Canis lupus familiaris: one gene and its partner. The protein of the gene in region 2 interacts with the protein of the main gene of each other region in a pairwise test. Links are inferred from orthologs where the notes say so. Each region holds a gene or a part of one and is shown on either strand. Other genes may lie near its edges. The genes, in order: TSPYL4 and CDK5RAP3.

What was found.
Region 1: the proteins of CDK5RAP3 (region 2) and TSPYL4 interact in binary tests that used the Homo sapiens proteins (3 or more experiments, as listed by UniProt). The two-hybrid records come from large-scale screens. The link is inferred for Canis lupus familiaris from reciprocal best matches to the Homo sapiens genes CDK5RAP3 and TSPYL4.

Annotation. Positions count from the first base shown.
Region 1 is NC_049233.1:72,377,093-72,391,921, reverse strand, and holds TSPYL4 (testis-specific Y-encoded-like protein 4), read left to right. Parts: upstream 1-9,124; coding exon 9,125-10,321; 3' UTR 10,322-10,347; downstream 10,348-14,829.
Region 2 is NC_049230.1:24,226,343-24,241,563, reverse strand, and holds CDK5RAP3 (CDK5 regulatory subunit-associated protein 3), read right to left. Parts: upstream 13,953-15,221; 5' UTR 13,846-13,952; coding exon 13,840-13,845; intron 13,612-13,839; coding exon 13,566-13,611; intron 10,607-13,565; coding exon 10,475-10,606; intron 10,203-10,474; coding exon 10,102-10,202; intron 9,762-10,101; coding exon 9,713-9,761; intron 9,059-9,712; coding exon 8,880-9,058; intron 8,684-8,879; coding exon 8,547-8,683; intron 8,319-8,546; coding exon 8,174-8,318; intron 7,800-8,173; coding exon 7,689-7,799; intron 7,159-7,688; coding exon 7,083-7,158; intron 6,297-7,082; coding exon 6,208-6,296; intron 5,575-6,207; coding exon 5,369-5,574; intron 4,992-5,368; coding exon 4,820-4,991; intron 4,714-4,819; coding exon 4,648-4,713; 3' UTR 4,356-4,647; downstream 1-4,355. UniProt on the Homo sapiens protein: Substrate adapter of E3 ligase complexes mediating ufmylation, the covalent attachment of the ubiquitin-like modifier UFM1 to substrate proteins, and which is involved in various processes, such as ribosome recycling and reticulophagy (also called ER-phagy).

The DNA of each region.
Region 1 (14,829 bases), on a different chromosome or scaffold from region 2:
GAACAAACTACTGATCACGTAACAACATGGATGCATCTCAAAAACATTTTTATTTTTTATTATTTAAAAAAAAATTTATTTATTTATTCATGAGAGACACAGGCAGAGGGAGAAGCAGGCTCCATGCAGGGAGCCCGACGCAGGACTCCATCCCGGGACCCCAGGATCACGCCCTGGGCTGAAGGTGGTGCCAAACCGCTGAGCCACCCAGGGATTCCTCAAAAACTTTAAGTGAAGGATGCCAGAGAAGAGAGTACATTCTAGGGGCGCCTGGGTGGCTCAGTCCGTTAAGTGTTTGACTCTTGAGTTTGGCTCAGGTCATGGTCTCAGGGTTGTGAGACTGAACCCCAAACTTGGGTCCACCCTTAGTGCGGAGTCTGCTTAAAATCCCTCTGCCCCCCACCTCGCTGTGTGCTATCAGTCAATAAAAAAGAGTACATACTACATAACTCCATATATGTGAAGTTCAGTGGTTTGGGAAACTTAACCATGGTGATAGAAATCCAAAGAATGGTTGCCTCAGGGCTGTAGAGTAACTGGAAAGAAGCATGAGCAAACTTTCAGGGGTGATAGTGAGGCACCATTATCTTGATTTGGGCGATGATAACACAGACGTACCCATTTGTTAAAACCTGTCAAGTTGTACAATTAAGAGTCATGCATTTTAGTGAATGTAAGCTATAACCATAAATAATAGATTTAAAAATACTGTCATGAATTCAAAAATTGGAATTCTATTTGCCCATTTCCACTATTTTGACTTTTCTTCTGTGCTTAAATAAAAGCTGTTGACTCTGGGGTGCCCGAGTGGCTCAGATGGTTAAGCATTTTGCATTTGGCTCATGTTGGGACCTCCACGTCTTGGGGTCTAGCTCCAGTCGGGCTCCCTGCTCAGCAGGGAATCTGCCTCTCCCTCTGACTCCACCACCCACCACGCTCTCTCTCATGTGAATAAATCTTTAAAAACAAAAAGCTGCTGACTCTGTTTGCAAGTTCTTCTTCTTGCTGTATAATTTCATTTATAATCCCAATTTTGGGAATACTTTTTTTTCTTTTGTTACTTTCCTCCTTCAATTCTAGGTAGAAGTTGCTCTCTAGAGATTTCCTTAATTTACAAGCTAAGAAGTTCTCTTATCCTCTCATCACTGAAGATGTTGATCTGCTCAGGACATATAACCCGTAGGTAGTGCTGATACACTCAACATTCTTGCTGGGTTTCCCTTTTCACTTCTGCACGTTCAGATGCTACATGACGATTCTCTGATCTTATTTGGACCTTTTTTCTCTGACTCTTCAGCTTCAACCTACTACTCTCCATTACCCTAATGTCGTAGGTTGCAAAGGGTGGTCCCCAGACCAGCAGCGTGAGGTTCACTTAAATCTTGTTAGAAATGCAATCTTGAGAACCCCATTACTGCCCTGTGGAATCTAACCTGAGTGGAATCTAGCAACTGTATTTTAACCAGCACTACAGGTGATTGTGATACGTGCTAATGTTTGGGGATCATCTGCCCTAAACCCTATTGCTGCTCCTGCTTCATCTCTTTTTTTAAGATTTTATTTATTCACAAGAGACACAGAGAGGCAGAGACCCAGGCAGAGGTTTCTTACTGCCTGGGATGGAGCCCCTGCTCAGCGGGGAGTCTGCTTGGTCCCTCTCCTTCTGCCTCCCAGCCTGCATGTACGCACATGCTCTCTCTGTCAGATAAGTAACTATAATCTTAAAAAAAAAAAAAAAAAAAAAAAACAGAATTAGCCAAAGTAGTTCAAATGTTTTATATCCTTCTGGAATTCGGCTGCTGAACAGCACAGAACTCAGGGTATCACTGTGAAATGTAGAGAATGTGTTATGGAGGCTTGAGTCAACTGGGTGATAACTTAGAACAGCACTTGAAACTTCATTGTCATCCTCTTCACCAGGCTAAGCTCTAACTTCCCTTAGCATAATAAAGGGCTGTGTTGAGATGGTTCAGTACGTGGTGATCTAGGTCTGTGGTAGAGACGACTCCGTATAGTAGTCACAAACATTTACAAACCTGACTCTCAAGGTGTATGTGGGCTTCTCCCAATGGTGTTTGGGAAGTCTGCCAGTTATTTTGTTTTTTTTACAATGAATACAGGTATTACTGGTATTCATTAGGGACATTAGGGAAGCTAGATATCCTGCAATGTGATGGACAGTGTCCCATACAGAGTAATCATCCAGTGCTAAATATATAGATGACAAAATCTAGTATTTAAGCCTAGAACCTAATACCATTTTACATATAAAAATATTTTGCACTGTTATTTATTGTTTTTTAAGTAAGCTCCACCCCCGACTTGGGGATGACTCAAGAGTCACATGCTCCTGGCTGCTATATGTAAGTGATAAATCACTAAATTCTATTCCTAAAACCAATATTACACTCTGTGTTAACTAACTGGAATTTAAATAAAAACTTGCAACAGGGCAGCCTGGGGGGCTCAGCAGTTTAGCGCCACCTTCAGTCCAGGGCTGATCCTGGAGTCCTAGGATCGACCCATGTCGGGCTCTCTGCATGGAGCCTGCTTCTCCCTCTGCCTGTGTCTCTCTTTCTCTCTCTCTCTGATGAATAAATAAAATCTTAAAAAAACAAAACAAAACAAAACTTGAAACAAAAAAGAGTCATATGCTCTACCAAATGAGCAAGCCAGGCCCTCCTTTCTTCCTGCAGTGTTTTAAACACTATTTTTTGAAAGCAACTTATTTCATCTACTGTAAAACATTGTAAGATACACCATTATCTAGCACTAAGAATGAAAACAAATGCTAATGAAATTCTGACACAAAACTTTCTAACATTTACAATTTTTGTGTTACCAACAATCAACAGAGTAAAAAGGAACCTACAGAATGGGAGAAAACATTTGCAAATCATATATCTGAAAAGGTTAATCTCCAAAATATGTAAGGAACTAGTGATTCTAAGGTACAGCCATCTAACTACTATATCATGTCATTTTTATTTTTAAAGATTTTATTTATTTATTCATGAGATACACAGAGAGAGGCAGAGACACAGGCAGAGGAAGAAACAGCCTCTTTGCAGGGAGCCTGACGTGGGACTCGATCCTGGGACCCCAAGGTCATGCCCTGGGCTGAAGGCAGGTGCTAAACCGCTGAGTCACCCAGGGGCCCCCCTCATCATGTCATTTAATGCAGGCAGGACTTCTTTTTATTGCACTAAGTCTTTCCCCACTTCCAGCTATTCTGTCTCCTGACTCCCAATTTGCGAGATAAAAAAAAAAAATTGAAACTAAGGGGTTTAAATGATCTGTTAAACAAACATGTTATTCTGGATCCTCCGAAAAGCAGAAGTCAAGCTGGGATTAAATATACAAAGGTCTTATTAGGGGAAAATGACTGTGTGAGTGAGATGGGGAGGGAGCCAGAAAAAAAAGACGGGAGAGCCATCTGTCCAGAAAGCAAATCTGATTGAGTGAAAAGGGGAGCAAGAGAAAGTTGGGTGGAAGCGTCCTAGACTCCTGTGCCATCCAAGGAAGATTCAGCAAGGCCACCAGGGAGTCCTTGAGGCAACCAGAGTCAGCTGTTGGCTGAGTCCCACATCCTCTAGGAATGGTCTTGCCTTCGTACCCTAGCCATACTCAGCCATTGGCTGGAGGGCTCATAGGAGGTATGGCCGGAATGCAAAGGAGACTAGAGATTTCAGGGTGCAGCATTCAGACCCTTGAACAATTACTCTCCTTGTATTAGGAAGGCTGGAAGGTGCATTTTCATGGCTACCACATGAAACTTCACACTACATTGGTGCCAAAGCCAGATCCATCCTTGACTCATACCTGTAAGAAATTCAATTAGCCCAGCATCCTCTTTGAATGTGAAGGAAGTTGTTCTTCAGCCATTGTTTTCTCAAAAAGCAGGACGGCTTTCTACTGGAAATGCCAATTTTGCGTGGCCCTGGACACACAGGCTCTGTCTGCTAAAGATGCCTTTGTCCTGTCTGAGGAAGAGAAAAGTTTCCATGGAATGCTTCTGTTGCTGCTCAACTTAATTCTGGGCTTTGGAGCCCTGGAGTGGTGACTCATTTAGTCATAGGGACAGAACTCCTTCCATATGTTAAGGGTAATTTAGGGGAAATTGTTTGAAAATTCAGTATCTTTTGGCTGTAATGGTACATGAAATACATTTTAAAGAAGAAAAAAAGGAAAGATGGAAACGGGGGTGAGGAAGGAGGAAAGCAACTTACGGAGTAAGGGTCACCTACATTACAATATTGACCCGTTACTCTGAGAAGAGGGTAGGTAAAGACAGGTTGGGTGAGCTTACTATTTTTAAAAAGTAAGGCTCTGTGCTCAACATGGGGCTCAAACTCACAACCCAGAGATCAAAAGTCACATGCTCCATTGACTGAGCCAGCCGGGTGCCCCTTAGGATTCCTATTTTATAAAATGTGGAAATGGAGATAAAAAAAGTTAAACCACTTGCCCAAATTCCCACTGCTCATGAAGGCAGAAATGAACTCCAGCCCATGTCTTTTGCCCTCCTCCAGTAAGACTGGGTCTACACAATACCAATAAAGAAAAAACAAATGAACAAAGGGAATGTTCTCTCTGATGGATTGAGAACTGTTGACTTTAAGCCTTGAATCCAGGATCATGAATTCCTGCTTCTTTTAGTGTTCAGGCACTTCCCCAACGACTGTTAGTATCTTTCTGGATGGGCAGAGGGGAACAGGACAGTAAGACATAACATTAAATTGGGATGGTCATACAGTCTTACTTCTAAGAAAGCACCTTTACATTTTACATGTTGGGTGGAATTGCAGAAAAATATAATAAATGAGTGTACAGGTTCCTGAGTCAGATTACGGCTCTATCACTTTTGTGTGACTGTGGATAAGCAACTCGGTTCCTCTTTGCTGCAGTTCCTTCTAAGGTAACGTAGGATGAAGTCATAATATTATTACCTCACAGGGTTATTCTGAGGATTAAATGAGATAACACATTTAGAAAACACTAAGTAAATGTAGGCCCTAATGAATATATAACCAGAAACCCTATCATTCTGAAAAAACATGCCGGGCTCCAGCTCCAGCTGGGGTGGGTCTCTCGAAGGAAAGGCCGGCGTCGGCAAATGAGGGGACGCACAGAGTCAGGGTGCAGACACGTCCTGATCATTTCGGAGGGGCTTTATTTATACCATTTTACATTGCCTTGCTTTTCCAGTTTCTTTTTTAGTAAATAATTACATTTTACATTTTATCGCAAACATCTTAGATCATTCTAAAGATTAAGAAACATCTTTTTCATACGAAATATTTTTCCTTTCAGTTTCGACTGCTATAATGAACATGACCTTTATTGATTTCTTGAGAAAGCAGTGAGTGTGATGTAAAAGACAAAAGTGCTAGACAGAGCGTGGCCTATTCTAGTGGAAAAACAAGTCTATGGTAATATGGTTACATGAAAGGGGTTATTATTTTAAAGGTTATATACAGAAATGTTTAACTTTCTTCTAGCAGTTTACAGTACCCACAACTTATTTTATCATGTGTTCCACTGGTTAACTGTTGTCTCTTTAACTTGACGCTTAAGAGGTACCTGAAGGACTTCTTCCATGACAGCTTTAACTGGGCTAGGTTCCCAGATTTATTTTACCCTTAACTGATAAAAAAACTCAGCATTTCTCATATTAGAGGAATTACAGAGTGGGGGGTGGGGGGCATTGGGTTTTATTCCAAGAAGCATGTTGGAAATTTTAATTATTTTTAGACTCCATATTTATTTTATGGAAATTCCCCAATAGTATTATAATGATGCTAAAGATGGCCAAAAACAAAGTGAAAGGAATCCATGGGAGCCAGCTGTGGCTTCTCCTGATTTTCAGGATTAACTCCCATGCCTGGACTTTGTCAAACAGCATGAGTAGCCTGGCTCCCACCAAAAGCAACCTTGTTGTTCAAGAGTAACAACAGTGGGTATTTCCTAAATTTTCCAGTACTTACTATACACTTTAGTAAAATCGTTCCTATTTGACTATACTAATTTATGTTTGAACTTTTGTTAAACTCCTTGTCCTGTGGCAAATGAAAATTACCTCCTGGATTTTCTTTTTTTAAAGATTTTATTTATTTATTCATGAGAGACACACAGAGAGGCAGAGACATAGGCAGAGGGAGAAGCAGGCTCCACACAGGAAGCCCGACGTGGGACTCGATCCCGGGTCTCCAGGATCTGGCCCTGGGCTGAAAGCAGCACTAAACTGCTGAGCCACCTGGGCTGCCCCCCTCCTGGATTTTCATGGCATTTCTTGCGAGTATTTTTCCATATGGTCATGTTACTGACATACCTTTTGCTCTGTAGTGAGGCCGATGTCAACTGCCAACAGAACAGGCTTTGTCATGTACTCCAAATCCTATATTCTAATATGCAAACAAAATGATTCATACCTATAATACATAATCCACTCAACTCAAAATGAAATACTAGCATAGTCATACTATTCATTTTGGTTAAATCTTTTACATTTTTCATTTAACTCAAGTAATCAAATTCATTACAATCTCCAATGAGATAGTCACTGGCCTACTATAGTAGATGCCAAGGATGCAGCCATCCTTGCCTACTTGGCATGAGGAGACTAATCTGCATAAAACAACCAAGAAAGTTAAAGATAGAAGGTAAATTCTAATTTGCACGGTAAAGGTCATAGGAGCTATAGAAATTGAGGACTGTTAGAACGGTAAGGTGATAAGGGAAGGTCATGCATAGGAGATGGGAGGAGGCAGTCTGGCAATTAATATATGTCTCCATCATGAGGGAGTCAACCCTGTGATCCTGGGTCCTTGTTTAGGATTATTAAATGCATTAAAATGCTAATGCAATCTACATGAGGTAAGCTTGAATGGAGTTTCAAGGATGGGCAGGTTATTATTGGTGGAAAATGATCCCCTTGACAGGAACAATCAAAGCTAGGGATGGGGATGCTTCAAGCAGTGGAGATAAAAGTCCTTTGTATATGCAACAAAAGAAAAAAGGTTCAGAGGTAGCAGTAGTTTTAAGTAACTTTCTAATTTTCTGTTGCAAATAGCAAATGCTACCTTTCTTGTATGGATTCTTTAAGAAAGGAAACAAGGCAGAGCAGTGTCAAAGTATAACCCAAAGTCACAAATACACTAAATTATAGCACAATGTTTACTTATTTACAAAGAGGATAAATTAGTAAATGGATTTCACCCCACAGAGGCAAAACAGGATTTATTAAAACGGGGGAAAAAAGGAGAGAAAAATAATTGTAGTCTGAGAAGAGTGCATCTTGTTTGTACATTTTTTTTTTAATTTTTTAAAAAAATCTTATTTATTCATGAGAGAGACAGAGAGAGGCAGAGACACAGGCAGAGGGAGAAGCAGGCTCCATGCAGGGAGCCTGATGTGGGACTCGATCCCAGAACTCCAGGACCACGCCCCGAGCCAAAGGCAGGTGCTCAACCAGGGGGCCACCCAGGCATCCCTGTTTGTACAGTTTTTATGGGTTATCTGATTAGCTGGTAGCAGTCACTCTGGACAGTCTGTCCTTGAGTAGGCAGACTAGGGGCACAAAAATATCTTGAATGTTTCTGAACTGTCTGGTAAACCTTTGTGAGCTACCCCATGAAGCTGCGGGACAGGCTGCTCCTCTGTGCCACCTGCCACTATCTCTCCCAGCACCTCATTCTTAGTTGCACAGGGTCTGCACTACCTCCCTCAATACACCTGCTACTTTTCCGTAACTCTGTTTCCCCTACACCCTGACTTTTCACTGGATCCTCTCCCGAGTCCTAATTTAAAAGCGATCATGGGGATCCCTGGGTGACGCAGCGGTTTGGCGCCTGCCTTTGGCTCAGGGCGCGATCCTGGAGACCCGGGATCGAATCCCACGTCGGGCTCCCGGTGCATGGAGCCTGCTTCTCCCTCTGCCTCATTCTCTCTCTCTCTGTGACTATCACAAAAAAAAAAAAAAAAAAAAAAAAGAAGCGATCATGATCTGGGGTGCTCTGTAGCGTAGTAGTTTCTATCACAAAGAGTCACAAACATTTTTCTAATATGAATTTAAGATGCGGAACAAAAATATGCAAAATTCAAGTTTTCCTTCATTCTTGCGTTTGTCTAAGGATCAACACCAGTATTTCCACACTGCAGCAAACAGCACGTGGTACGGAATTAACACCACTGCTAGATGAATCGTATGAACTGACTGGAAAAGGCACATTTCGGGTAGCTATTTTAACACTGACGTTTTAGACGCCACTTAAAATATTTTTAGTTGGACGATTACGAGTTGCAGTGCCTGCGAACAAACAGCTGCTGTTGCTCCCGCCCGCCGGGGACTACCACAGGGGCTATTGTGGCAACTACTCCTGGGCTTCGAGCTCGCGCGGACTCCGAAGCAGGAGCTCCTCCCGGCTCAGGGCTGGGCCACATCCACGGCACGTGCCATTTTGGAAATTACACTCTCCTGAGATCACGTCTTTTTCCGTGATGCTTCAAGGCCGGGTCTGCGCGCTCGCGCGAGTGGGTCGACGCCAGTGAGGAACGTACCTTGACCGCGTGTATTACTTCAGAGCGCAGCGGGCCTGGCGTCCGGTCGCCCCCGGGGTCGGCCGACGGGCGCAGCCTTCGTGGTGTCCGGTCGGGAAGGCCGAGGCTTCCGTCTCCACCGCGCCGAGGTGCGTAAGTCACCACTTTTTTTTTTTTTAAGATTCTAATTAATTACTCAGGAGAGAGAGAGAGAGAGAGAGAGAGAGACCCGGGCGAGGGAGAGGCAGGCTCCCGGGTCCCGCCCTCCGCCGCGGGGCCGCCGCTCTGCTCACCTCCAGCCTCGGGGGCCCCTCGGCGTCCTCGCCTGAGGGAGGGGAGCGCGGGGCCGCGGCGGCGGGGACACTCACCCAGCGCCCCGGAAGCGCCGCCGCAGCGGCCCGCGAACCCACGCCCGCGCGCGCAGACCCCGGAAACCCGGAATCCCCAGGCCCCGCGAACTCTCGCGCGACGTGAGGACGCGCGCCTCCGGCCGCCGTGACGTCAGCGGTTGCCATAGCAGCATCCTCCGGGAGTGCGCGAGCGGCGGGGACCGGGACGCCGTCCTGCTGCGGGTCCCTGCCCCGAGATGAGCGCGCCGGCCGAGGGCAGGCACCTCCCTGCCGCCCGAGACTGCGGCGCGGCGGCGGCGGAGGCCGACCCCGCCCCGGGCCCCCCGGACGCGACCCCGGGCCGGGCCGAGGGGATGGCGGACGCGGGTGAGGGCGGCGTGCAGACGGCCGCGGGGGGCGCCCCGGCCCGGAGCCCGGCTGGAGGCGCCCCGGCGCTCCGCGTTCGAGTGTTCGGGAGTCGCGGCCGCGGGGCGGGCAGAGCGGGCCCCCGAGAGCGCCTGCTGCCCGCGGAAGGCTCGGCCGCCGCCGGTGCCCAGGAGCACGGCTGTCCGCGGAGAGAGCCGCGGGGCCCTGCTGCGGAGAAAGCCCTAGAAGCCTGCGGCGCGGGGGCGTCGGGGGCGCAGGGGGCGCAGGGGGCGCCGGGGGCGAAGGCCAAGGAGCTGCCGGCCAAGTGCGCCGCGGAGGGGGAGGGAGCAGCCGCGGGGGCGGCGGAGGACGGGCAGGCGATGCCCAAGGAGAAGGGGGCGGCGGGGACCCAGGAGGAGGCGCGGGCCAAGGCCCCGAAGGTCGGCAGCTGCATGGACTCGCTGGAGGCCATCGACCAGGAGCTGTCGAACGTCAACGCCCAGGCCGACCGGGCCTTCCTGCAGCTGGAGCGCAAGTTCGGCCGCATGCGCAGGCTCCACATGCAGCGCAGGAGCTTCATCATCCAGAACATCCCGGGCTTCTGGGTCACGGCCTTCCGCAACCACCCGCAGCTGGCGCCCATGATCAGTGGCCAGGATGAGGACATGATGAGGTACATGATCAATCTGGAGGTGGAGGAGCTCAAGCACCCCAGGGCCGGCTGCAAGTTCAAGTTCATCTTCCAGGGCAACCCCTACTTCCGCAACGAGGGGCTCGTCAAAGAGTACGAGCGCAGGTCCTCGGGCCGGGTCGTGTCCCTGGCCACGCCGATCCGCTGGCACCGGGGCCAGGACCCCCAGGCTCACATCCACAGGAACCGGGAAGGAAGCACCATCCCCAGTTTCTTCAACTGGTTCTCGGACCACAGCCTCCTAGAATTCGACAGGATCGCGGAGATCATCAAGGCCGAGCTGTGGCCCAACCCCCTGCAGTACTACCTGATGGGCGAGGGGCCGCGCCGGGGCATCCGGGACCCCGCGAGGCAGCCGGCCGAGAGCCCCAGGTCCTTCCGGTTCCAGTCCGGCTAGCGGCGCCCCGGCCGCCCGCGCCCCGCCCCCGCGCCCCCGCGCCCCCGCGCCCCGGCCCTGCGCCTGGCCCGCAGCACGCCCTCTGTCCGCCCGTCTCGGCGCGGCCCCGCGGCGGCCCCGCTTCTCCTCACCCCTCAGTCGCTTGTAAGGTTGACCCTTGGATGCCCGCGTCCTGGTCCACGTCCCGCGTGCACGCGCCGCCTCGGCGCGGCCCCGGCCCCGGCCCCGGCCCTCAGTGCAGCTGCTCACCGGCCGCCGCGCGGCTGAGGCGGCTGAGGCGGGAATGAGGCCGGCCGGCGAGCGCCCGGTGCAGCCGCGTGGCTCCTCTGCGGGGGCCCGGGAACCCCCCCCCGCCCCGGGGCTGCGGGCAGGTGGGCAGCGCTCTGTGCTCGCGCCTGGAGCGTGGCCCTCCGGAGCCGCCGCGGCCCCGGGACCTGGGCAGCCCCCCCCGGGGGCTCGGAGGACCCGGCTGCGCTCCGGGGGGCCGCCCCGTACCTGCACCCCCCTCCTGCCCCTCCCTCCCGCCCCTCCCCCTCTCCCTCTTTCTAGAACAGCTCGAGCTCCGAAGTGGAGAGCCTCGGGGGCCCGGGCGGGCTTTGTGCTTCACCTGCTCCCGGCCCCGCCCCCCAGCTCCGAGAGCCTCCGACGGAGACCTGTGGGCGACTCGGGGCGTCGGGGCCGCGGCGACCCCCCGCCCTGCCCGCCCTGGAGTCCCCGGGAAGCAGGGAAGGGCGGCGGCGGCGCGGGACGGATTTAAGGAGAGCCGGAGCCGGTGGCCACCGAGGCGGCCGGAGCGGAGTTTCACTCTCCTTCTTTAGACCTGGAAACTGGGGGGACGGGGAGCCCCAAGAAACAACCCGGGGCAGCGCTGCGGGGCACCCTCCCCTGCTTCCTCACGCCCCCGCTTCCGTCCCTAGAAACCCGGCCGCGTTGCCGAGACGCCAGGCTTCCCCGCCGGGGTCGGGGTGTGTGCAGCTGAGTGTTCCGGCGGCTGCGCGTGCGGCCCCGACTGCCCGCCGCCCCCTCCCCTCCTCTCCCCCCTCTCCCCTCCCCCCTCCCCCCGGAAGGCTTTGCCCGAAGCTCCCGGAGCGCTAGGGAGGCCTGGGCACCGCGGGGGGGAGGGGGAGGGGGGAGGGGGTGTTTGCTGTCGCCGAGGCCCGACTGCTGCGAAGTGGTCTTGGAAGGGCCCCGGGAAGCTGGAGCCCCGGGGGGGGGGGGGGGGAGCTTTTCCGGGAGCCCAGGGGGTCTCAGAGTGCTTGATGTTTAAACAGGATGCTTGGAGGACTTTTCCCGAATTCCCTTGAATTCACCAGTAGATTTTTGTACACGAAGATGCAAGTCTGGATGTTTTCTCTCTATTACTATAGGAGTGATTTTCTCTGTGGAAAATTAGTGGTATATGCTCCTTGTTTCTCTGTGTTTGAGTAAAATCCTGCTCATTCCTTTCTCTACTTTTGCTTGCTGGCAAAATCGACACTTACAGGCCTGCTTTTTGCTCGTAATTGAGAACGTGTGCAAAAATACCGAACTTGTTTCCTGCGCAGTATGAAACCCGTGAACACTCATTAATATATCAGCTTGTCCTGGTCTGTCTTCACCCGTAGTTCTATTCTTAGAAATATAATTTGAATGTGATCTTTGAAATCTTGCAAGTTGTTGCTGTGTCTTGTGCAAGTAATCTCTAAAAAACCCCCATAACTCCTATTGTCGTGATATTCCTTGCCCTAATAGTAACGTGGTACTTGACATTAATGTCCCTGACCAGTGTAAGTACTTGTAGAACTGCTCTGTCAAACTAAACAAGGATCGTTAAGTACTTTAGTATTCTGTGTGCTCAAAGGAAAAATAAAGTCTGTCAGTCTGCTGTATTTCTTGTTTTCAACAAAAAATAAAAATAAAGTTCTGTGTTGTCTAGTCTAATAAAAGATTGGGAAATCATTAAAGTTATCAAATTATCACAGTAAACATTTGTCCTGAAGTTTCCAAAAAAAAAAAAAAAAAAACAGCCACCAAATTTCTAAGGTGCTTTTTTGCTTAGAAAATGGTAAATAAGAGGCCTAACTACATGCTCATGAACATAATTTTTCTATTCAACCAGTATAGTTTTTGAAGGTAATTAAAGCACCATTTCTTGTTTTTGGTCACTTAAAATATTTACAGCGGAAAACATTTTTGGCTTTTTATGTTTTAATTCCAGGTAATTAACCTACACTGTTACATTAGTTTCAGGTCTACAATACAGTGATTCAACAATTTCATACGCCACCTGGTGCTCATTTTAGCAAGTGCGCTCCTAAATCCCCATCACCCATTTAAGGTATCCCCCAGCATCCCCCACCACCTCCGGTCTGAGTCATCAGTTTGTTCTCTATAATTGACTGTTTCTTGATTGGTCTCTTCCCCCCCCCCCACCTTTGTTTCTTAAATTCCACATATGAATGAAGTCAGAATGGTATTTGGCTTTGACTGACTTAGTGGAAAACTATTCTTAATGCACCATCCTTGTTTACTACATTTGTGTTAACCGTGATCTTACTCTTTCCTCAGAAGATAGATTTTTGGAAGGAGTTAATCATTGTATATTCTACAAGTGCTTCTTAATTTCTTTTCCTACAAGGTGCAGTGCTTTAAAAAGAAAGAATAACAAATTGTGACTGACATAGTATCTAGAAACCTGATCCCACACATCCCAATCTCAATGACTAAGTCCTGTTAGGCAGGACTGCTGCTGTTAGTCCAGCAGCTGTCACATGAAGGGTTAGGAGTTGGGAGGGCCCTGGCTATTGCAAGATCTGTGAAAATGAATGGTATTTGTAGCCATCTAAACAAAAATTTTACATAAATGGCCCCAAATTATTACTAAACAGACCTGCTGACTCTTGGTGCAGTCCATTCTTGCAAGTTTTACTTGCTTAAGTATAATTTTTCTAGGCCTGGATAACTTTTTTTTTTTAAGATTTTATTTATTTATTAGAGACACAGAGAGAGAGAGGGACAGAGGGGGAAGCAGGCTCCACGCAGGAAGCCCGACATGGGAATCGATCCGGGGTCTCCAGGATCAGGCCCTGGGCCAAAGGCGGAGCTAAACTGCTGACAGGCCAGGGCTGCCCTAGACCTGGAAAATTTTAAATTTTAGAGAACTATGTTTTCATTGCAACCTCTATACCTATCTTGATTGTAAATTATACTTGTAGTGTTCATTTTACCTTTTCGATTCAGTGATTTTTTTTTCCTGCATTGTCTCTCTTATCCTTTTCTGGACATGGTCAGAAAAATGTCATTTTTATTGTCGTTGGTTTATTATCAGCTTTAACCAATAGTATTCATTTTCCTAGTAGGTTGGTGCTACTCTTTTGTTAGATTACGATGGTTTCTGTTCTGTTGAATAAAATTATACTAAATTAGACATTCTGTAGGTTTCACTTACCAGTTGGTATACTCCTATGTCCCTGCCCCATTTCTTTTCATTGCCTTTTTTCTTCTCAATTCTAGACCCAAATTATTCCTTACGAAGACCTCCAAATCGGTTATGAGGTTCTCGCATCCTCTGATCACCAAACAAGTATCATTTGGTCTGCACAGGCCTATTGCCCTGTTCGTAGGGTCATACTTCATAATTTCCCTAGTCCCCACATAACAGAATCTCCTTGGGCATTCTTCCATTTCTGGGTATTAGACCAGACGATGACAAAAGTCTTGTCTAACCTTCCTTGCTCAAGGTCCCTTCTCCCCGTTACTCCTCTTGCAGCTCCTGCTTCTTTTTCTCCAGTTGACTCAAGTTTCTGTAATGTGTGTATCATAAAAACCAAAATTATCTGTATTCTTATTAAATTCCTTGTTCTACGGGATCCCTGGGTGGCTCAGCGGTTTAGCGCCTGCCTTCGGCCCACAGCGTAGGCCTGGAGTCCTGAGATCAAGTCCCATATCGGGCTCCCTGCATGGAGCCTGCTTCTCCCTCTGGCTCTCTCTCTGTATCTCGCATGAATAAATAAATAAAATCTTAAAAAAAAAATTCCTTGCTCTATAGAGTCACAATTTGAGCCTTGGATATCTGTTCGCATCAGAGATACCGTCTCTGGTTTGACAGTCCTAAGAAATCTGAGGGGTCAGGCACGTCCGTTTATGTTCTCGTGTTACTTTCACTATTCTCACACAAGTTTTACTATCTCCGTTTAGATACTTAAGGAAACAGGCTCAGAGGGCAGCCCGGGTGGCTCAGCTGTTTAGCGCCTGCCTTCCCGGGATCTAGTCCCACGTCAGGCTCCGTCCATAGAGGCTGCTTCTCCCTCTGCCTGTGTCTCTGCCTCTGTCTCATGAATAAATAAAATCTTTTTTTTTTTCTTTTAAAGAAAACAGGCTCCGAAAGTTGAAGTAGATGTGCCTAAGATACAAGTCACAGAGACATGTATTTTTTAATTTCAAGCCTAGATTATCTTCCACTACCATCATAAACATTTGTACTAAATTTGGCATAAAACAAAAACTATGTGAATAATCAGGACTCAGCT
Region 2 (15,221 bases):
AGCCCTACTCCTCTGCTCTCCAGGAGAGTCCTCCACTAAACAGGGAGAGAGGACGGAGGGAGCCCGGGACACGTACAGGGCAGGTGCTCCCACTGGAAAGCATGTAGAAAGGATTTCAGGTTGACCACCGGTCCATCGTAAAAGCCTAGTTAAACCCAATTTCCTTCCCAACTTCCCGTGTTTGCGGGATTCTTCAATTTTGCTAACTCATGGGCCCCACGACAGTAATATTTTAGAGGTCAAAGTCACTTTAGAGATCATTAAGACAACTGAAGTTTGGAGAAGTTAATTTTGAGATTCCAAAGGGCACACAAAAGTGAGTGAGAGCCGGTTCCTATCCTCAGGCAGCTCAGGGTGGAGCACAGGTGCCAGGATTGCACTGTGACGCCGTGACAGACAGGTGAAGGGCATCTCCACATGGCTTCGGGATGCTGCTGAGGAAGAGGGGCTCATCCTGTCGGGGCCTGGAAATGTCCACAGAGATGTATTTGGGCCTTGTCTGAGGTGGGGCAGGAAGGCTAGGAGGGGGCCAGGAAGTTGGTTGGGGCTTGAGGACACGTGGGTTTGGTGTCGTGGGTGGATGCTGAGGCTGGAAAGGAGATAGAGATCCAATTACCAAGGCTGGCCTGCTACTCTAGGAGCTTAGGGAGCTAAGGGGGCGTCAGAGTGTCTAAGCAGGGGAATGATGAGGGTGAGAAAGCTGGGGCCGGGAGCCTGCTGCTTGACCTATAGGAAATATCAGATAGGGATGAAGAGTGGAATGGAGAAAGCAATGGGTTTGGTTCAGGATATTTAGGGATACCTGGGACACACAGAGCCGATACCCAAACACAAGTTTCTGACTTTAAGTCCAGGTTCTTTCGGGTCCATCCCCTCTCACAACAGCGGACTATGGAGTCTTACTGGGCCAGTGGCCATCTAGGCACTGTACACTCTTGCCATGGCTCCCTACTCTGAGGCCAGTAGTATCATTTTATACGGGAAGGAAAGAAGGCCCGGAGAGGTCCAGGGACTTGCCCAAGATCACATGGTGGCAAGAAGAGAGCCAGGATTTGACCCAGGCGGTCCAGATCTAGAGAATGTGCTAATCATCATGATGCTTTGCCTGTTTCCTTCCTAACCTACTACAATTATCAGGTTTCGTATGTGCATGTACAGGAATGTGGAGAGAATGGGTGGCAATTAAATGAAATAAAAATTAGTGACAAGACAAGCAGATGCAGATGAGGAGTCAGGGAAGAGCCACAGGACCTGTGTTTCTAGGGGGGAGACTGAAGCAACATCTGGGAATTAAGGAGAGAGACAGAAAGGGGAGCAGGGAGGTACATGTGAGGGAACAAGCAGGACTGCAGCCCCCCCTCCCTGCCATGGTGGGGGTGCTTTGCTTTGGTCCTTGGCTCTAGGCCATTCTCTCAGTGAGATTTCCCTTCTGCACGACAGAGAGAATCCCTGCCCACACTGGCCATGGGGAGCTAGTTCTAGATGGGTAGGACCCGATCTCCTCGGCAAGCCCTTAGTGGGCAGCCAGAAGCCAGATGAACAGCTGTCAGCACTCCGCTTAGCTCCTGGTCGTGGCCGCCATCACAAGCTGCGGTGCAAAGGAATCCTACTTCTGTGGACTCTGACTAGAGCAGCACTTGGAGAAGACGTGGGAAGAAAGGCTTCACGTGAGCAGAGAGACGGTAATGGGGCTTGGGCAGCTGGATTTAGCAGGGAGAGAGGATCTAGGAAAACTGACTCTGCCCCATTGTCTGAAGGAAGGTGACAAGTGAGCTGAGTGGTGAGAGACTGAAATCTTCCCTGGAAAAAGGTGGCATAAAAGTGAACATGAGGGCAGGTGGCTCAGCGGTTTAGCACCACCTTCGGCCCAGGGTGTGATCCTAGGGACCCGGGATTGGGTCCCATGTCAGGCTCCCTGCCTGGAGTCTGCTTCTCCCTCTGCCTGTGTCTCTGCCTCTGTGTGTGTGTGTGTGTGTGTGTCTGTGTCTTTCATGAATAAATAAATAAAATCTTAAAAAAAAAAAAGTGAACGTGAAAGTAGGATGTGCACTTGGCAATACGATTCACACCAAACTAAGGATAAATCTTGGCCCGCCTCCTCCTCCTCTCCCAGAACATTTTCTCGAAGCCCCAGAAATCTGACTGCTCAGAACTTGGTCTTCAAGCTCCACAAAGAACCTCCCACCATTCCCTTCCTGGAAGGCAAGTTAGACCGGGATGAAGAGTCCCTAACCACTGTTTCACAAACCAAAACTAAGAGCTCACATTTGTCCAGGAGTGCTTTCTCTGTGCCAGACAGCATTCTGAGAACTCTGTGTGTGTTAACTCGTTTAATCCTCACAATGAATTGTCAGGCAATTCAGAGAAAAGCAAGTGGGGACCCAACTGCAATCAGAGCAATGCTAAGGGGAATCTGGGAGCAGATCTGCAAGACACAGTGCTGTTCTCCCATGGGGTAAAGGAGCCGGGTGGGATCTCCAATGTCTCAGTGTGGCCGGGAAAGTGGGTTCCAGGAAGTGAAGCCCAGGCCAAAAGGCTAGGAGCTAAAGGTTCTGGACAAGACTAATGTTATAGGCTTAGAGACTTTTAAGAGACAATTGACATTGGGGTGCCTGGGTGGCTCAGTCGGTTGGGCACGTACCTTCAGCTCATGTCATGATCTTGGGGTCCTGGGATCGAGCCCCGTGTCGGGGCTCCCTGTTTGCTTCTCCCCCGACCCCACCCTGCTCATGCATTCTCTTTTTCAGATGAATAAATATAATCTTTAAAAAACAAAACAAAACAAACCCAATTGACATCAGTGTAGAGTAGGCCTTCATTTTACCAGCTAAGCAGTGGACGAGGTCTGATCCCTGTGAGAGAGAACAGTCCCCTAACCACACCACTTAACAAGGTGCCCCAAATCTGCTGAGAGAACCTTATCTAAACCCACTTCCCCTCCTGTGAAGATGGCCACACCTCAGCCTGTATGACTCCCTGCCATCAACCCCAGGCAGAGCAGAGCAGGCAGGCAGGCAAGGTGCTCCTCCGACAGGGCAGGAGCAGGAAATTTTAAGGCCTGAAACTGGTCCACCGTGGTCACATGGTTCACAGGGCTTCTCCCTGCAGCTAGGTGCCTGGAAGCGACAGCATCCATCCATGTAGCAGCTGGTGATTGGACGAGGGACACTGACCAGGCGAGGGTAGCAATGCCTTGGTGAGCGGATGGCTGCCGCAAGAGGCAGGCCAGAAGGCCGGTGGAGCCAGCAGCCGAACAGGTGGGGCAGGAGGTAGCAGCCACCCTCTTAGAGGGAAAGGGCCTAAGAGACTCAGCTCCCTAGGCCGTACATGTCCACAACGACGGAGGGCAGGGTACAGCCCACCCGGTCCCTGTTACATCCTTCGATTCTAAGGACATTCTCAACATTCCGCACGGGTTGTTTTTCCTTTTCCAATTCCTAGAGTAATTTCAGCCCCCGATACCTCCAAAAGGAGGTGAACAGGCAAAGATTGGGGGGAAGCGATGGGCTGACATTAATTGATAGGAGCGGCTCTGAGCAGTTCATGCTGCCTTATCTCTCTCTCCTTTGGATAGCGTGTGTCCGCCGGAGTCCGCGGGGTCGGTGATTAATAGGGGCCATCACTCACTGTCCAGGACGGCTGAAAGGCAGCAGGGAGGGGGCGGCCCTCCCCAGAACTGAGATAACAAGCAGCAGGAATAATGAGTGGTGTCACTCCACTTTTCATTTTGATGGAAAGTCATTACGGGAGTCAACGCCAGCGACAAAGAGCCATGAATCAACTGCTCTGCTATGAAATTAAAATCGAATTGCCGGCCACCCCCAACCCCTACCCTTCCTGGGAAATGGGGATGGGTAGGTGGCTGGGGAGAGGGGTGCTATCCTGGGGTGGCCTCTACCCAATCACGGTGCTGGCAGTTATGGGGAGGAAGTGAACAGGCAGCTAGCTAGCAAAGGTGACAACTCCTGTCTCCACCTTGTTTATCAGACCCTTCCTCCCAAACCACATCTTCCCTCTGCCTGGAGGTAAACTGTGATTAAAAGGAAAATACAGCTTTGCTTGGCTCCAACAAGGCTGCCACTTGACTACTACCCTTGGGCTTCTGGCCTGAGCAGGGCAGTCTAGCCTGGCCACGGACAGAAAAAGGGGCCCAGCCAATGGAGATCCCCAAGAGCCCCCTGTGGAACCACTTGTAGATACTAATCTGGGGCCCTGCCTGTCACAAGCAAAGGGGGGGAAGCCCCTCCCCCCCTTGGGGCTCTGTAGGAACAGCCGGTGGCCTTGGGAGCCCACTGGATCAAAAGCCCAGGCAAACAGGTGCAAAGCTTTGATTCAAGGGCCAGAGAAGCACAAACTGTCAGTAGTGAAGCAAGAGCCTCTTCCTTTTTTATTAAGTCCAACTAGATGATGAGAAGCCCCAGAAACTGTGGTCTCAGACTGAGGGTCACAGGGCCAATCAAGATAGCTTCTTGCCAGAGAGTATAGCAAGTGTCAAAGGTCACCATCGAGGAGATGGCTCCTTCACGTGGCTTTCCATCCTCCAATCCCCTGGTCTCTGGCTAGGAAGAGCCCTGCCACTTCAGCCCAGGCTGTCTTCCCCTCCTGCCAGAAGGCTGGGAAGACGGGCAGGTGGACCTGTGGAGGCTGTCACAGAGAAGTTCCCATCAGGTTCACGGGGCGCCCACCGTACCTCTTGGAAATGTCAGCTTCGATCTGAAAGACAGTGATACCAAGTGGGTAGAAGCAGAGAGGCAAAGGTGCCTCGTTCTGTATAATCTGGGGGTCTTCCCCCTGGGCAGGTTTGCCTTTCCTGTCTTACCAGCTTCTGAAGCTCCTTGGTCTTCTCTAGCAGTAGATCTAGCTTGGGCTCCAGGGCTGCCTGCTCCTGAAGCGCTTCCTGCTGCTTCTGCACCATCAGCTCTTTCTTCAAAGCCAGCAGCTGGGACTGCTTCAGCTTTTGCTGGAGAAACCCCGTCACTCGATCCACATACCTGTGCGGGGCACTCGGGTTAAGCGTCTGAGGCAGCTGAGTAGCCTGAGTATCCCCATTCATCTGCTGGGAAAGGCAAAGGCAACCAAATCCCTGCCCAGCAACTTGGCCTCCACCCGCTTCATTCCCTCCCTGCAAGGTTTATGGCTCCCACTTCTCCTGTCCTACTTGGGAAGCAGAGCCTGCCTGCATATGTCAAACCACCCCATCCTGCCCCAAGAGAACCCTGGATCCCAGCTGTGACAGAGCTGCCATGGGAGGCAGAGAAGAGCTCTGAGGAGTCATGGAGAAGGGGAACGCAAAGAGTCAGGACTGCTCAAGATGGCGGCACCCCACATCACGCTCCGGAAGAGCCCAGTGTCAACAGGAAAGCCAGACCTTGGGGAGGCCAGGATCATAAACAGGTGTTGCATTCGAAGACTGGTGAGCCGGCCAATCAGGTCCTGTAGTGTCGACACCATGGTAACCATCTTCTCCTTAGTCTGGCCCTGCAGGATGGCTGGAGCTAGTTGGAACTGGCTCACAGACAAAATGTCTGCCTCCTCACTCATCTCCACGGCTCTCTGGGACAAGAAGATCTCGAGCTGAGGGCAGAAGAGGATCTGGTTGACACCAAGAAGAGAATTCAGAGGCTAAGCCCTCAGACTGCTCAGAATGCAAGAATGAGATGTGAGGGCTAGACTCCTGGTGAGGAGGGATTATTTCTTCTGAACACTTTAATTGCTAGAAACTTACCAACTATGACGTGAGAGCCTGAAGCAGCCTCCACCGCTAATCTCCCGCCCCTCCTGCTATCTCACTCCCCACCACCCCCAGCCCTGGACACCTCTCCTTCTTCCCAACATGTGGCTCAGATAACTATAAACACAGAGATTTGATGGGTTCTCTCTGTCCCAGTGAAGGTATTTTCTCTCTGTGAGAGGAATGAGATTCAGGGAACAGGAATCCATATTTGAGAAGCCTGGACTAAGAGAGGGCTGGGAAGAATCTGGGAACCAGCCACATATCTTATCACTCTTATTCTAACCAGAGAAACTCCATCCTTTTGTCCTCCTTTGCCCTGGAGTCTAAGAGGAGCCTCTCTTAGCAAAAAGAAAAGGGAACAGGTGAGGACTATGAACGCAGATGAGGCCCTCACCAGCCAGCAGGTCACTGGGAGGGGAACAGATGGAGATGAACACAAGCGGGAAGGGTCCATCCACAGAGGATGAAGGTACCTCCATGAGCTCATCGATGAACTGATTCCGGGTCTCGGGGTATTCGAGAAGTGTCAGGGCGTCTGGGCCCCTAGCAACACCTTCTGGAGCTGCCAGGAAGAGAGACAAATGATAAAGTCACTGGAGACCAGAGAAAAAGACCCTCAACTTTGAGAAGTTCTGGTGGGCTAATATGGACAAAAACTCATTGCAGAAGCTACTTGATGTCTCACCCCAGGGTGGGGGGAAGGGTTACTTTTTCCCATTGTCTTAACTCGAATCAGACACTACTTCCAACTGCCAGTCTGGGAGGAGGATCACAGAGCTGGCTTTAGGGCCTGGAAAGGGCCCCTCAGCATTGTCGGCCACGAAGTTTCATCCTGCACCGCCCTCTAGTGGCTCAGATGGCCACTACATCCTCTCAGCTATTGGGCAGGAGGGTCAAGGTCAGACCTCCAAGCCCACCGCCCTTCTGGAACCTCTCATCAGAAAGGTGACCCACATTCGCTTTCCAAAAGTTAAGAGCTTCTAGACTTGATTTTGAGAACTTGGGGTACCTTGTGGCTCAGTGGCTGGGTGTTGGCCTTTGGCTCAGACTGTGATCCCAATGTCCTGGGATCGAGTCCCGCATCAGGCTCCCCATGGGGGAGCCTGCTTCTCCTTCTGACTACTGTCTCTTTCTCTCTCTCTCTGTCTCTCATGAATAAATAAATAAAATCTTTAAAAGACTTTTTTTAGAACTTCCGTTACTCTACTCTTACATCATCATCATGATTTTGAGAAAACAGTTAGATGTGTGAGCAGCCCAATCTTGGCAGTGCATTTTTTTGTTTCCAGAGACACAGGGACCTTTGAGCATCCACTCCTGCCAAAGCTACAGGGAGGAGGGCACTTACCCTGGGTTCCGGCTTCCAGCACTGTGATCTGCAAAGCGGCGTCGTCTCCCCAGTCAATCCCATCACCTCCAGCTTCCTGGGTGGAAAGCAAAGAACCTCAGCAGGGTTGCAAGAATCTTCCCCAGCAAAGGGAGCCAGAATAAACCAAACCCTCGATAAGCTCAATATGCCTGCACATTTCAACTGTATGAAGGACTTGCAGCCACATATGTTGCTACCCTCATCCCTGCTTAGAGTTACCACCTGCCAAGACCCTCACATACCAGGAGAAAAGGGGTCAAATGCTCCCCCCTTGGACTATACCTCGCCTGAGGTCTATGGGCAACATCTTTTTGTTTTTTAAGATTTTTTTTTTAACTTGAGAGGCGGGGGAGGGGGGGGCGGGGGCAGAGGGAGAAGCAGGCTTCCTTCACGGAACCCACGTGGGACTTCTTGATCCCGGGTCTCCAGGATCACACCCTGGGCTGAAGGCGGCACTAAACCGCTAAGCCACCAGGGCTGCCCACTTCAGGTAACATCTTTAAAGACAGACAACACTTCTCTCGACACCAAAGCAGAGATCACACAGCAAGTCCTCAGAGAGATGGGCTAAGAGGGCTTCCTAACCTTTGAGTCTGATTCCAGGGAGATGCCCCAGTCAATTCCAGCAGCCTGAGCAGAGATGCCAGAATCGGTCCCTTCGGCAGCCACTTCTACTCCAAAGTCGCCCCAGTCAATCTAGCAGGGGAAAAAAGTGTTAGCTTAGAGAAAGTGGGTGAAAAGAAAGGGGTGTGCCTCCCCAGAGGTCTCAGCTGCCCCTCTAGGGGGCGCCAGCACACTGTTGAAGGGCAATGGCTTGGGGGCTCCCTGAAGGACAGCACATCTTCAGAGAGTTCACAGGACAGGATTCCTAGTTCAAGGTCAACCAGCTTGCTGAGCCTCTACAACACTCATCTCTGCTCTGGCCTCAAGAAGCCTGGAAAAATAAGGGAGGGCCTTCCAGCTAGGGTCTCTCGCACCCAAATCCTACTTTCTTCCTTCTGGGACTCTGCACTCACGTAGAGGTGGAGCTGTGGGGCATGAGGACATGGCTCTCGCCAGGTTTGTCTTACCACATCTTCTTCCACCTGCTCAGGCAGCTCCTCGAGGTGGGGCCGCTCCACCACAGAGGGCTCTGTCCCCATTCTCCATTCGTACACTGTGGAGTTCCCCCGCCTCTGCACGAACCGCAGCATTGGCAGCACCTGCTCTGTAGGACTGAAACAGAGCACCGCCTGACGCTCCTGCTGCGCACATGTGAAGCCCACGCGGGGCTCCGGCCTGCGCCCCCAGGCCAGATGGGGGAGCTCCCACAGGCTCACGTGTTTAAACCAAAACTCAAACGTGAGGTGGGAAAAGCACAAGTAGAGGAGACAGAACAGCCGAGGAAAATAGGTCAATTGTCCCCCCCCCCCCCCGCGCTGGAGAGAAACTAAGGTCCTTTACCTTTCACACACAAACCCCACACAGGCCTGGTACAGATCGATGGCTTCACCCAGGGCCTGAGCCCCTGCCCCAATCTCAGCCAGCTGACTCGGCAGGTCTTTCACCAGGGCCAGCAGTTCTCTTCGGACGTTGTCTCCCTAGAGAGGATGGGAGAAGAGGGCTAAGACAGGAGCAGTGGGAAGCACAGTGCAGCGAGCTCAAAAGAACACCCAAAGATTGCAGATGGGTGAGACACTGGCTCAGAAGGGCACAACTGGCCGAGAAGGGAGCCTCTCCCAAAAGCGAAGGGGCTGGGTTCAGGCCAACAGAGGCGCCAGGTGCCCTCCAGCTCACCGTGATGCCATACTGCTTGCACGAGTGGTAGAACTGCTCCCGCATCTCGGCAGCCCCCGCCTGGCCCTCCTCCTCCTTGCGACTATATTCTTGCTGCAGCTGCTGGCACTTGGCGATCTGCTTCTTCAGTGAGGGGATCTCATAGTTGACATTCCGAACCAGGAGGCTGGAGAGTTCCACTGAAAGGGGCCCAGGAAATTTACCCCAGATGCCCACACCCCGAGGCAAACATGCCCCTGGGACATGTGCAAATACACCCCGTGGCAGCAGAGAGCGTGGCTTGGCCTCCCAGCTCCCCCCTCCCAGCCGTGGAACCTCACACAGTCATTCAAACTCGCTAATCCAATCCTGTTCTGTAACATAGGGACAATCATATTTACCATGAGGATTAAGAGAGAGAATCCACATAAAACATGAGTATAACTCCTTGCATTTAGTAGGTGCTTGGTAAGTATGAGCTATTATTATTAAGACTTTGAGGAAATATACCCCAAAGTACCATAAGCCCTGTAATTATGCTCTCAGGCACCCAATGTGGCCCCTCTTCTTCCCAGTGGAGACTAGGGGTGCAGAGGAGGTGGGTCAGTCACCAAGAGGTCAGTAATGAGGACCTACACATACCTGCCAGGCCCGGCCTGGCCAATACCTACTACCTGCCTGGTCTTCCTCCTCCTCCCAATACTCTTTGGGGAACTTCTTTGCCCACCTGGTAAACATCTATACCCCAGCTTCTTCCCCCAAAAGGACTGTGCCTCCTAGAAGCCTAGAGTCTCAGAACTCTTGGGAGTGGGCCGCCCCATGGACACCAGGCTTCCCAGGCTAGGCCACTTTACCTAGGTAGGTGTTGTCCTTCTCATACAGGGCTACAATCTCCTGCCAGTCCTGGGTGAGGATAGAAATAGGAAGTGAGCTGGAATGGCGCTCAGCAGCCACATACCAGCTCAAGCCCCAGGGGGGACACTCCCCTAGCCCTCATATCACATCAGACACAGACCTCTTCATAACACTGGCTGGACACCCCCACACACTTCCTTTTAAGAATGTGGCATCAACAAGCGCTCCCCAAAGCAGTAGGACTGAAAATGTAAACCCAGGCATAGGATCTACTTTGGAATAAACTTTGGGGGCAAAGAGAAAGCTCAGGAAACAGTCTACATAGGCATCTCCACTGGACCCTTAGCGAGACCAGAGACTCTGACCCTGCAGCTTTGCCCACACTTGCCTTCATTCGCTGTGAAGAGTACCGGCCAAAAATATTTTTTGTGGAGGCTTCAGTGCCTTTGAGAAGGTCCACAATCCTTAGGCAGTGGAAGTAGTGAATGTCTAAAAAGCAAGGAAAAACAAAGACTTTGGGAATTATAGTATCTTCCCCACCTACTCTGGGCACATGGCTAACTGATGAATATGCTGAGAACTTTAGCATGTATAGCTCTCCCCCTCAGCATTCTGTGTTGGAAGAAACTGGCATCTGTACCCCAAAAATAAATCTCTCTCTAGGGGTCAGCCCTACAGTTAAACAACAAGGGGGCAGGCTCAGCTGATATCCAGTGCTCCAGGAAAGAGGGGCTCTGGTAATGTAGCCCAGAAGCACTCACAGGATCCAGAGAGCAGCTGGGCGATCTCCTCGCTCTCTGGCATGTCCTGGATGGCAGCATTGATCTTCTCTCGGATGGTCAACACCAGACTCTGCCATTTCAGACTGCAGTGCCTTCTGTCCACCAGCCAGTCTGTGTGAGAAGCACCCACATCACAGCATTCCCACTGACACAGCCAGAAGCCCACCACTAATTCAGGTGAAATATGCTAAGACACTGGCTAAAAGTTATATGTATATTGGTTAAGGTGCAAGCATCATGGGAATAAAGAGAGGCTCTGGAACGCCTGGGTGGCTCAGTGGTTGAGAGTCTGCCTTCAGCTCAGGATGTGATCCCGAGGTCCTGGGATTGAGTCCAGCATCAGGCTCCCGGCAGGGAGCCTACTTCTCCCTCTACCTGTGTCTCTGCCTCTTTCTTGGTCTCACGAATGAATAAATAAAATTTAAAAAAAAAGAGAGAGGCTCAAAGGCACCCTTGGGGTTAAACAGACCCCACCACAGCGTGACCCCAGGATCATGACCCGAGCCGAAGACAGATATGAGCCACCCAGGCGCCCCATTGTATGACTTTTATAGAGCAACTGCCTCCACACAGGGATAAAGAAAAACTTTAAATTGGTCCTGACATCAAAGTGCCACTTTTGACCACTCTAAATTCTCCATAATATTTTTGCTTCCATGGGTAATTATATCTTTCTTACTGACAGAGGATGCTTTCAACTTCCACTTCCTCAGGGCTGGGATTAACCATGACAATGGAAAATACAAGATGATTATGCCAAGTACCGGATGAATGAACAACTGTAAAGCCCCTAATACCTGCAGCGCCCTAAGGACTAGGTAACACTGGTACTCTCAACAGTGAAGAACTGCCTGGCACCACAAGAACACCAACGTGACTGACCTCCTGGACTCTGGGCCCAGATCTGTTTTTAGGAGAGGGTGTGGGTGGATGAGAGCCATGCATGTTTCCTCAGTAGGAGACAGCTAAGAGCTAGGTTTTGTGGTCAGATGGTCCTGGTTTCTAATTATTACCCCCACCCCCTTTTTTTAAGACTGATTTATTTGAGAGAGAGAAAGAGAGAGCATGTGAGCATGGGGAGGGGGGGTAGAAGGAGAGAGAACCTTAGGCAGACTCCCCACTGAGCACAGAGCCCAACATGGGGCTTAATCCCACAACCCAGAGACCATGACCTGAGCCGAAATCAAGACCCTTAACTGACTGAGCCACCGAGGCGCCCCTAATTATCAACTTTAAGTCTCTCAACCATTCTGTGCGTCAAGTTTCCCCACATATAAAATGGAGATAAGATATTGAACACAAGAGAGAATGGAGTACTGTGCCTGGCATATGACAAGGACTCAATAAATCCAAGTAAAATATGCTCATTTTTGCAATGTCAAGTGCCTAAAACAGCACCTGGTAGAGCAAAGACTCAACGAATGGTTGTTGTTTTCCTGGTCCTTTTCACAGCCAATGACAAGTTCATGCACCAAGAGTGCACAAATGCTGAAGAACTGGGACAAATCTGAATTTTTCTCCGTTATGGGGACACCTGGGTGGCTCAGTGGTTGAGCTTCTGCCTTTGGCTCAGGGCCTGATCCTGGGGTCCTGGGATTGCCTGCATCGGGCTTCCCACAAGGAGACTGCCTCTCTCTCTCTTGAATACATAAATAAATAAAAATATATTTAAAAAAAGAAGCTCCAGGGCAGCCTGGGTGGCTCAGCGGTTTAGTGCCTGCCTTTGGCTCAGGGCATGATCCTGGAATCCTGGGATTGAGTCCGAAGTCGGGCTTGCTGCATGGAGCTTACTTCTCCCTCTGTCTGTGTCTCTGCCTCTCTCTCTCTCTCTCTGTGTCTCTCATGAATAAATAAATCTTTTTAAAAATTTAAAAAAAAAGCTCTATTACGTGGCCACTGCATAGAACTCACTAAATAGTCCACAGTAGTGAACTGAGAACCCTGCCCTTGTTAACATACCTGCCAACTGATCAAACACTGTGCTCTCACACTAGTTTTCAGCTATATCCCCTCGCTGTATTCCTCTGAAACCTTCAAAAAGAAAAACTCTGTAGATACAATAAAACTAGAAGGGGATGAGGTAGTCAGATGTCATTTTTTTTTAAGGATCTTATTTATTCATGAGAGACAGAGAGGCAGGGAGACACAGGCAGAGGGAGAAGTAGGCTCCATGCAGGGATCCCGATGTGGGACTCGATCCCCGGACTCCAGGATCAGGCCCTGGGCTGAAGGCGGCGCTAAACCGCGGAGCCACCCAGCCTGTCCTAGTCAGATGTCATCTTAATGACAAAACTGACATCAAATCCATTAATGCAATTAGCATTTTACAATCCAGGAGTAGTGCACTTGCCTAGAAGGGTCATATATGAGGAGGTCCTTCCCTGGCTCTGAACTGAGGAGGTATTTAGATCAGATATAGACAGCAGGAAGGTGGCCTGCCCACTAAAAGGTCTTTGTTCCCAATTGGGTCTATGTCCCTCTTCCTCCTAAAATCAGGGGAAGATGGAAGCTTTTCTCTTTAAAAAAAAAGGGGGGGGCGGTGTGCCTGGGTGGCTCAGTGGTTGAGCATCTGTCTTCAGCTCAGGACATGATCCTGGGGTCCTGGGATCGAGTCCCACATCCGGCTCCCTACCGGGAGCCTGCTTCTCCCTCTGCCTGTGTCTCCACGGCTCTCTGTGTCTCTCATGAATAAATAATTTATTTTAAAAGGAGGGAAGTTTTTTCTATACAAAAAGCATAGACATTGGAGTCCGACAGACTCGAACTCTAACTTCCTATCTGCCACTTAGTAGCTGACCGTCTTTACAGTAAGCCACTAATCTGGGCCTGATGATTGACCGCACGTGTCATGATGCTATACGGTGGAAGCCGAAGGTTCAAGTACAGACTATGTACGGTTCCTTCCCGCTCCTCCGAGCGCGGCAGGCAGACGCGGCTGGGAGCAGATCACCGCGAGTGGTCAGCGCCTCAGCAGGGGCCTTGGGGCATCGGGGCTCCCAGCTGTTGGCGACAGGCAGCAAAGGGCAGGGCCTCCCCCTGGCAGCCGGTTGCGCGGGGCGTCCCCTCCTACCGAGCAGCTTGCTGGTCTGGATGTCGATGGGCACGTGCTGATGGTCCTGGAGGGAAACACGCCGGGGAACGGGGCGTGAGCGCGCCGAGGGGGCGTGCCCCCTGCGCGCTCGGTTCAGGGGCCCAACCGCCGCCCTGCGGGGCCAGAATGACGGGCCCGGGGTGGGGGGCGCGCCCGGGAGAGAGGCCGGCGACGCGGGCCAGGAACTGACGGGCCGAATTCAGCCCGGGTCCCCGGAGCAGCCCCCCACAGCCCCCAGCTCCAGGCCCCACACCTGCATCTTCCTCCACTTCCGCTTCCGGCTGGCGACCCACGCCAGCCCCACCTACAACCAATCGCGCGCGGGGCTAGCGGAGCCTCTGTCTAGGCCCGAACGCGCCTCCTCCGGCCACGTAGCCACCTTCCTCCGAGCCAATCGGGACGCGCGCTCCTCCCCTGGCCACAAGCCCCACCCACCTCGGGGCTCCGAATGGCTGAGCCCGGAGAGGCGGGAGGACGGGAGTCAGCCAATGGGAGACGCGAGGCGGGCTCAGGGCTGGAGAGGGGCGGGGCGCCGAGAAAAGGCTGCAGGGGCGGCGAGCTCGCGGCAGGGGACGCCCGAGAGCTGACACCCGCCGCTTGCGGCTAGGTGGCCACCGAGCCTCCGGTGCTAGGATTACCTGGCTCGCCGAGAGGGTCCTAGCGCTGACCCTGGACACCCGGAGGCCGTTAGAAATGCCTCCTTCCCGCCTTGCCTGGCTTTACGTCCGTCGTCGTTTGTGGGTGGCACTTGTCACATTTTGCCTTCCCGTTGAGTTTCTCTGATAGACATGTGTTGAGTACCTGCTACCTGTTGGGTAGATTAGGGCGGGGAAGGGGAGGCATCCCCAAGATAACACCTACATCGAGTCTTCAAAAGAAGAGCTGGGGCAGCCCTGGTGGCTCAGCAGTTTAGCGCCGCCTTCGGCCCAGGGCCTGATCCTGGAGTCCCAGGATCGAGTCCCACGTCGGGCTCCCTGCATGGAGCCTGCTTCTCCTTCTGCCTGTGTCTCTGCCTCTCTCTCTCTCTATCTCTCATGAATAAATAAATAAAATCTTTTAAAAAATAAATGAATTAATAAAATAAAAGCTGCAGGAGCACCCTGGTGGCTCTGTGGCTGAGCATCTGCCTTTGGCTCAGGGAGTGAACCTGGGGTCCTGGGCTCCTTCCTGCATCAGGCTCCCTGCAGGGAGCCTGCTTCTCCCTCTGCCTCTCTCTCTGTGTCTCTCATGAATAAATAATAAATAAAACCTTTAAATGAACGAATAAATAAATAAATAAATAAATAAATAAATAAATAAATAAATAATTTTTTATGATGGAAGAATTTCAAGAGGGCACCCCGACCGACGGGTCTCACGCTGATGATGCTGGTGGTGGCAGTGGCAGTGAAGGCAGGCCAGCATTTGTGCAGTAAAAAGTTTGGGGCAAGGAGTGGCCAGCCAGGAGACTGTAAAGGTGGAAAGGTCCTATCATAGGGAGGAGCCTCATGAAGGAACTTGGACTTCACCCCTGCAGACAGGGAGGAACCACTAGAGGAGGGTTTGAAGGGTTTGAAGCGGGGAAGGACCTGTGACCGCAGAGGATAGATTCGCGAGAGATAAGACTGGAGACAGGTAGACTGTCAGGAGGTTATT